Lytechinus pictus: one gene and its partner. The main gene of each other region encodes a partner of the protein of the gene in region 2 in a complex. Links are inferred from orthologs where the notes say so. Each region holds a gene or a part of one and is shown on either strand. Other genes may lie near its edges.

The links. The genes of interacting proteins can lie anywhere in the genome.
Region 1: the proteins of kinesin-like protein KIF15 (region 2) and KIF-binding protein-like are in contact, whole or in part, in a cryo-EM structure (PDB 6ZPH), measured with the Homo sapiens proteins. The link is inferred for Lytechinus pictus from reciprocal best matches to the Homo sapiens genes KIF15 and KIFBP. Residues at the interface, in NP_064627.1 of Homo sapiens: Leu187, Glu189, Ile191, Lys192, Lys193, Arg231, Glu232, Arg235, Arg271, Met280, Arg281, Leu282, Lys283, Glu284, Ala285, Gly286, Asn287, Asn289, Arg290, Leu292, Ser293, Gly296, Gln297, Ile299, Ala301, Val303, Asp304, Val305, Gly306, His312; in NP_056449.1 of Homo sapiens: Lys26, Tyr33, Lys36, Ile106, Glu109, Ile147, Ser150, Glu151, Glu153, Thr208, His209, Tyr212, Tyr213, Gln216, Gln219, His220, Phe224, Gln238, Glu248, Trp249, Ile251, Asn252, Thr255, Gln258, Phe259, Asn262, Tyr415, Val416, Thr417, Glu421.

What each region holds. Positions count from the first base shown.
Region 1 is NC_087247.1:22,972,792-22,977,073, reverse strand, and holds the start of KIF-binding protein-like, read right to left. Parts: upstream 2,417-4,282; 5' UTR 2,136-2,416; coding exon 2,070-2,135; intron 339-2,069; coding exon 221-338; intron 1-220. UniProt on the Homo sapiens protein: Activator of KIF1B plus-end-directed microtubule motor activity. Required for organization of axonal microtubules, and axonal outgrowth and maintenance during peripheral and central nervous system development.
Region 2 is NC_087246.1:69,478,005-69,482,286, forward strand, and holds the start of kinesin-like protein KIF15, read right to left. Parts: upstream 2,848-4,282; 5' UTR 2,728-2,847; coding exon 2,721-2,727; intron 891-2,720; coding exon 851-890; intron 1-850. UniProt on the Homo sapiens protein: Plus-end directed kinesin-like motor enzyme involved in mitotic spindle assembly.

The DNA of each region.
Region 1 (4,282 bases), on a different chromosome or scaffold from region 2:
TGTTCGTACTGCAACATTTACAATATAGGCCTACTTAAAAGAAATTAAGGCTTCTTTTCCAGACTGATTTTGTACAAAATATGATCCTTTTTTTGATAGTTATGAATTGAGGAACTGGATGGATTTGCTGTAATGTACCTTCATTTCATAACACACATGTTAAAAGTTCAAAGTCTTCAAAAACATTCATTTCCATACTTTATTTTTATAACTGGTTTACCTTTGGATTCCTCGCCCTGCTCGCTGGCATTTTCTAATTCTTTCCTTATTTCATGAAGCAACTCCCTGGCTTGATACTTTGATTTATAGGGATTGGTTTCTGGATCTTTCTTGGATGCCTGTTCATAAGAGAACATAAAACACAATGACAAACATAACAAAATTTTCTGAAAAGTAGATCAAGACTACCAGGGGTGTGAGTGGTCACAAATAAAAAGATCTGAAAAAAGCTGAAGAGTGTTGAAAAAAGTCAGAAATAGAAAGAGCTCCCATACTTTTTGTACAGAGGAAGGCCAAAAATATGCTGAAATTAAGCTGAAAAAAAAATAATCTGAAATCAGATAAAAATCTGAACTCTCACATCCCTGACTACTCAATACTTTTCAGGCAAGCTGGATCAGTTCTTCAGACTACATTGCCACAAAATATGAAAGCCCTTCAGTAAGTATGCCACAATTGAAATCTGATCGAAATTTGAAAAAATATCAATTTCTTCCAAAACTAAGGATGAGCTGTTTTAGGATTTAACAAAAAAAACTATGGTGTTCCACGGATGCACACCTATTCATTTCTTATACGCTTGTCAGTGGGGTGAATTGTCTTGTGATTTTCTTTTTCTTTTAAATAGACTTCTAGTCATGATTTTTTTTGGTGAAATCAGTTCCTGTTTAGTGCAGTTTAGATATCACAAATTATATCTAAGGTAAAAAATTTTATTTTAAAATATCTGTGGATTTTGTACAACAGTGCTTGAAAGTCTGACTACTCTGGCAGCTTTTCCCCCACCATATTGAGGTCCCAATGCCCCCTAGAGCGAGTACCTCTTAAAAAATTGCATTCTTTTGAGTTTTGGCTAGATCTAAGACTCATTATAGTGAGTGATTGTATTACTGACCGGCCTTGTATTACCGAACACGCGCATCGTAGCGTCAGAAAATAATTTCATACGCTTAAAATTTTGCAACATTCTTCCAAAGGGAACTTGAATAGAAAGATGATGAAAAATGGTCAAAAACACATTTTCAAAGTATTAATATTCTAAAAATAATAAAATATGGTGAAAATAGCTCATCAGTAATTTTGTTGTTTTCTCAACTTTTCCCATAGAAAACACACGTTCGGTAATACGATACCTTTTTCAAGTGACCAAAATATTTCACATGCGAAGAGGGGTCCGATTGGAAGCTAATATTGAAAAAAGGAAAACCGATTTCGGCAAAAAAAAATCATATTTATATTTTGTAGGTAATTGTGCATTTATGGTGAAAGTTTGGTAAATTTTATGAGAATAATGTGTTTGATATGATTGAATTCATGAAGTGTTCGGTAATACGATCCACTACCATATAAAATGTTCAACTTTCACTTACACTACAGGCTTGGAAGTGGACTGACAAGTTAGCATTCTTTTTCAAATATCACATTCATAGGTATTAATAAACAGGATCAACAGTTGGTTACTGAAATAAGCAAAATATCTGTGATTTTAGATTCCCATCAGGCATCTGGCATTGTCTGCATGGGAAAATCGTGAACTTTTGAGTTTTGAGTTTGACTTGTTTAAAAAATATAAGCATTTCCTCTTATCCCAATAAAATATAGTAAATCTCACATTCAACTTCGTGCAAATTTTTGTATTAAAAAAAAAGAAGACCGGAATTTACTCTTTTACATGATACAAAACATTTTAATAAAAAATACCCAGGATTTCAGCACAATTCAAACTTAGGCAGGTCTACTAACACAAAATTGCACATATGGGACCGATCACGTACACGTTCTTTCTATTCGATGTAAGCTGTAAAATTTACTTTTCAAACCTTTTAATGAATAATGTGGCTTTCACTCACCTCTTCTGAAAGTTTTCTCGCTTCTGAATACTTTTCAATCAAATCAGTGAACTGTGAATCTGACATGATGAACTGCTCTGTCTGACTTTCGTAAATCAAAAGTACTCTGGAGTCTGGGCTGGCGTGGACGCAATTAATGCACGATAATCAGCATCCGCGTTTAATAACTATGGTAGAGTTTTCAATGATGCAGTAGGATTAAAGGTGGATAAAATTAAATAAGATGCATAAGCAGGGACAACACCCCCCCCCCCCCACACACACACACACACACACCATCCACGTCCAAAGGGTAAACTCGTCCTGTAAATATGACAACTATAAGTTTTGTTTTCAAACTCGCTTATACTGCACTCGCAATATTAGGTTTAAGGCAAGGACGTTCCACAGTTAAAATGAAGTCCATGTCATTCTCACCAAATTTTGCAGAGAATTAATTTGGTATCTATGCATTATGAAAATGCAAAAAATAATATAGGTTCATGTGCTTATTTTTTTTCTATGGGTCTTCAAAGTCGCCGTATTTGAATGATATGCAATCTTTCGCAATCAAGAGAATTATGCATCTCTTAGACCTCACGAATTCACCATATGAGTTTAAATCATCTTAAATACTCAGTGGATATACCCCATCAAACTTCATCAAATTTTCAAGATATATAACAAAGTGTATACCAAAGTAAGAGAAAGTCTTTTAATTGGTAAAATTATATCTATTTGGAGTCAGCAGCGCCCTCATTTGTCAAAAATGGTGCAAAAACGCGGAAAAAACAAATCTTCAAAGACGTGAATCTACTCAAAAATTATAAAAAGTATTTTGTAAGCTGCACTTTATTCAAAATCCATGTCATTTTCATCAAATTCGGCTAAATTGTAGAGGAATGCATATCGAAGGTGTAGGGAAGTTAAGAATATGGGGTCCATGTGCTCGTTTTTTAATTATGAGTGTCCAAAGTGATGCGAGTTGGCCTGAAAATCGCCCAAAATGCGCCCAAAACGCGCAAAAGTCTAACAATGCCTTTTAAAATGCGAATGGTTCCGTAGTTTTGCCCCCAAACATTCAAAATCCATGTCATTTTCATCATACTCTCTAGATTTGTAGAAGAATTTATTTTGAAGACATTAAAATATTAGAAATATGGGGTCCATGCTTTTGTGCTCGTTTTTAAACTATTGGTGTCCCAACAGTGTAGCAAGTTGGCTTGAAAATCGCCTAAAAAGCGCCGAAACATGCAAAAGTCTCTCAATACCCTCTAAAATGCAAATAGTTCAATATTTCGCTCCCAAATATTCAAAATCCATGTCATTTTCATCATACTCTCTAGACTTGCAGAGAAATATATTACGATGACGTTAAGATATTAAAAATATGGGGTCCATGTGCTCGTTTTTAAACTATCAGTGTCCAAAGTGTTGCGAGTTGGCTTGTAACAGCCCCAAATGCGCCGAAAACATGCAAAAGTCTAATAATACCGTCTAAAATGTCTAAATTACAAATGGTTCCGTAGATCTGCTCCCAAACACTCAAAATCCATGTCATTTTCATCATACTCTCTAGATTTGCAGAGGAATATATTTTGACAACGTTGAAATATTAAAAATGTGGGGTCCATGTGCTCGTTTTTTAAACTATCAGTGTCCAAAGTGTTGCGAGTTGGCTTGTAACAGCCCCAAATGCGCCGAAAACATGCAAAAGTCTAATAATACCGTCTAAAATGTCTAAAATACGAATGGTTCCGTAGATCTGCTCCCAAATGCAAAATCCATGTCATTTTCATCATACTCTCTACATTTATAGAGGAATATATACTGAAGACGTTAAAATATTAAAAATATGGGGTCCATGTGCTCGTTTTCAAATTATCAGTGTTCAAAATATTGCGAGTTGGCTTGAAACAGCCCAAAATGCACCGAAAACAAGCAAAAGTCTCTTAATACCGTCTAAAATGCGAATGGTTCCGTAGTCTTGCTCCCAAACATTGAAAATCCATGTCATTTTCATCATACTTTGCACATAGATACTTTAGCACCTGAATATTCCAAATATGCTAAAATTAACATGGGTAAATGTGCTTGATTTTTTGCTATATAGCTTCAAAGTTAACCCAAAATGGATGATGTTCTTAAGAATTGCGCATCCGAAAGGATTTGGCATTTTTAGACCTCACGAGATCACAACAATGAGTTTAAAGCCCTATTACTCAGTCAGATTC
Region 2 (4,282 bases):
AAATTAAATAAAAAGTATTATAATCTGTACATATTACGCTGATTGGCATCGATTTCAGCGTGGTGGAAAACTCAGTATCGCGAACCTCGCGCGAGCATGACTCTGAACCGGAAGTGGTGATGACGACCCGTCGGAGTGAAAATTATCTCGTCTCGCGCATTATGAGATTTTTGTTCCTATTTGGGGTAGCGAGAATTCAAGAACACATCACAGTACATGGAATGATAATGCCTGTCAAATGACAATGACCAGTTGGGAGGTCTTTGTAGGTGAACCATCCTAAGTTTCGGAGCTGATGAAATGTTGCAAATAAATTGTTTGTCCAGGGTCCAGGATGAAAGTGCTGTTTTGATACACCAATATTTGACAAAGACTTCTTGGTTGCTCTTTGTCATGAAGAGCATTCGACAATACATTTTGTACATGCATGTATGTTCTTGAAAACTTTCTGCGTCGCGGTGTGAAAACATCCTATTGATAAAAATATATGCTTACTATCTTGTCTCCAGAATGCCTACTTCAGCTGTATTATAAGAATCATTCTGATCTCATGTTAGGCCAACAGTTATTTCAAGCTCAGTGTTGGCAATTGACATCATGGCTTTGGTGCTTAGCAATTTATCACACCAGCACAACACCAAACTTAAATGAATCTGGTCCCCACCTGAATCTCACAAGGTGCAGTGTTGAATTACACATGATAGATCTAATGTGATTTGGTTCATTTTTATAAACTCAAATCAAGTTATGGTCATTTGGTGCAAGGGAAGGCAATCTGATTCGTGCTTACACCAACACCAGCAATGAACTTGAAATCACCCATTGTAAGAATCAACAGGAGATACATTACCTTGCATTGTTGTTAGCTGGAGGTTGTCCCTTGTCCTTCTCTGTGAAATGAAACGAAAATCGAGACATAAGGACTTTAGATGTAGATGAATTAGAAATCTTATTGGGGAAAAGATAGTTCATACTTATCAGCCTGGCTATGAAAGATGGGGACTAGGTCCCTATCACTGCGTGCAAGATGACTAGCCGTTTGTGTAGGAGAAAGTAAAAACGTGATAATTCTGCAAATAGCAACTGGCTTTAAAACGCAGATTTTGAGACTGATACAAGCAAGGACAAAACAAGGAGTGAAATGTAAGAAGATTTGTTATAGATCATTTGTAAGGTCATGTTGTTGCATGAGTTTTTTTATTTGATGACACAAAGTGACACCTTTTGTCACTCAGAGTGTCAGAACGAGTTACCTGGCCAGATGGTTCGGGTAGGTGTTGCATAGTGAAGTGTAGTGGAGCCTACATGAACCATCACCTGAGGTACAGTACATGTTAGAATGAGGCATCACACATACAAGACATTATATCACATGACATTGGATTAACCCTATCCAGGTCGGGGGGGGGGGGGGCTCGGAGGCCCCCCTCAATGATTCGCGCAATATATTTTCGCCGAGCGAATTTTTTAGACCGCGCCGCTCGCTGACTTTTAATTTTCAAGTCTTGCGCAACTTTTGAGACCAGTTTTGCGTCACCCAGGTACGCGGTTCCGAGTGTATGTAACATTATGTAAGTGCATGTCAGACCAAAAATTGCTGAAAATGTGATTTTGTGTACAAAGTCAAAGCAAATTGTTTTTTCAATAAAAAATCATGAATGTATGATTATTTTTAGTTTCATATTTTGCTGGTCTAAATGTATTTATTTTATGCTGTTTATGATCTCAGAAGAGTCCCCAACAAATTTCATTGAAAAAACAATGAAAAACAAAAGGTCCAAAAAACAGAGAAATACATAAAAAATTGCAAAAAACAATATACATGTAATAGTTGATCTGATATCTCAATCCTATTCATGTACACTTGCTAAGAATACCATTAAGTTAATCATGTTTCTATACAAAAAAATAGAACATATGTATGGAGCTCTATTTAGGGAATTAGAGGGAAAAGTATGATTTTGCATACTAATTACGCATAATCACTTAATAGCAATTTACATGAAATAAATTACTACACAATTTTGTAGATTGTGTTCCACACAACCCACCTGCCAATTTTCAGCGCGATCGCGTGGCCAACAGCCGAGATCTCAAGGGGGGGGGGGGGGGGGGGGAGGATCGAGGACAAGGTCTAGATATAGATCTGGATCTGATCTATTTGGAGATTTTCATGAAATATCACATTCTTTTTCATAAAACATGCATTCTTCAAATCCACAAAGCACATTCAATATCTTATTTAGATTAAGCCAACATTACGCAATTCGCCATTATGCGTTTGCCCCCTTTTCAAATTCAATCCCGTGGCCAATGATGAACATGATCCCGCCAGTCTCTGGCTCTGCCATGAAAACGAAAAGTGCCCCACCAAAAACGGTAATTAAGCCTTCTATCCCCACAAGAAATCTCTGATCTGAACTGAGGTCTGAGCTCAGCTGAGACTGAGTGACGATGGCATTGTCCGGACAGTCAATGTCAATGTCAATGTCAATGACAGTCTCGACTCTTGTGCTCGCCGCCAGGCCACGGAAAGCCGCCTATGCCAGGCGGCTGATGGCGGCGAAGTCCTACCACAGGCTACCGCTGACTGGCAGTGGACTCTTGGATTTCCAGGCGCGGAGTTTTATGAATAAAAACAATCCTACAGAGATAATCTAAAGGTAAGCCAATACATTACATTCAGATGAACTATGCAGTAAAGTGACATCAAAACTTACTACTCATGTCAGTTCCGCCGTAAATTCATTAATGAAACTGAATTATGATGTTTATATTACGAACGTTTCTGCCAGGTCTGTTCGTAATTTGCCTCCAAAACGTGAAATTGAGAGCGCTAGCTACGGTACGATGATTTCCGAGCTAGCTAGTAAGTTGGGGCCGGGGGGCGGGCCGGCCGGGGACCCAATTAATAAAATAAAAGCATAGCCATGGGAACAGTGGCGTAGCTACGGGGTGGCCTGGGGGGCACGTGCCCCCCTTGAGATTTGGTGTGCCCCCCAGGTGCCCCCCTGAAAAAAATTGGCAGAGCAAAAAAAAAGGGAAGAAAAAAGGAAAAGAAGATGAAAGACAGAAGAAAATAAAGAAGAGGAAGACGAGTGAATGAAATAATGTGAAAGGAAGACTTGCAAAAAAAAAATCTTTCATGTTACTATATAAAACTTTTGCTTGCGCTTCGCGCCAGAATTGCCTGTTCGATGAGATTCATTTCTTGCTCAATAGGCTGATATGGAGCAAGTTTTGAAGTCGATATACAAAATACATTTTAGCTCGGACACGAACTTTCATCAATTTTTTTCATTAACAAATTTAAGTGCTCTAGCTGTAAAATATCCCTTTTATAGTCTACATATCAGCATTTTTAAGCTCACGCTGCGTGGTCAAATTGTTTGATTTGCCAAGTTCCTATTATCTACGTGTATTCCATAATGTTCCATTAAAAATGTATTCAGACTGCCCAGATTCTAGGTCTAAATCTAAAACATGCGCGATAGCCTGCATGTTCTTTATATTAAATTTACTAAAACTATCCAGTTTCACATAAGAATATCAATAATTGTCTGCTCACGCTTCACGATCGCATTATTAATGATACCCAATTAACTATATCCTATTTATGGTTTACAAAATATGAATAGAGTGTCCCGCTTTTAGGTCTAAAATCACAATTTTCTTCCTCTCGCGCTTCGCGCTCGCATCAATTGTTTAGTTACATACCTATCCCATTTATTAATACAAAAAGTGCTTAGAATGAAAATTTTTTATGTCGGAATGTAAAAAAAAATTTGCTCGCGCTTCGCGCTTTTCGCGCTCGCATTATTGAAATATATACCGTCTTCGTGGGTAACTGTCCTTAACAGGTCCCTTTTCGATAATGCTAGAACAGTTGATAAAATTTCTGCTCGCGCTTGGCGTTTGCAGTAACCATTTAGTTACATACGAATCTTTTTCAGGATCACACATAACATTGCCCAGAATATTAAATTTTCAGGACAAAATACATGAAAGTAAAAAATAAAAAAAAAATCGCTCGCGCTTCGCGCTCGCACTTTTTATAAGGCTTATGAGATTATTTCATGTTTATGTTGTTTTATAAGAATAAAAGTAAGAAGTGACTGATCGGGGGAAATATAGGCCCCGTCCCCTATTGGCGAAAGTGGGATCCGCCCTTGTGACACATACACAAACAACGGAAAAACTGGTGCCCCCCTGAAAAAGCAAGGACCCCCCTAGTGCCCCCCCAGGAAAAATATCCTAGCTACGCCACTGCATGGGAAGCGGG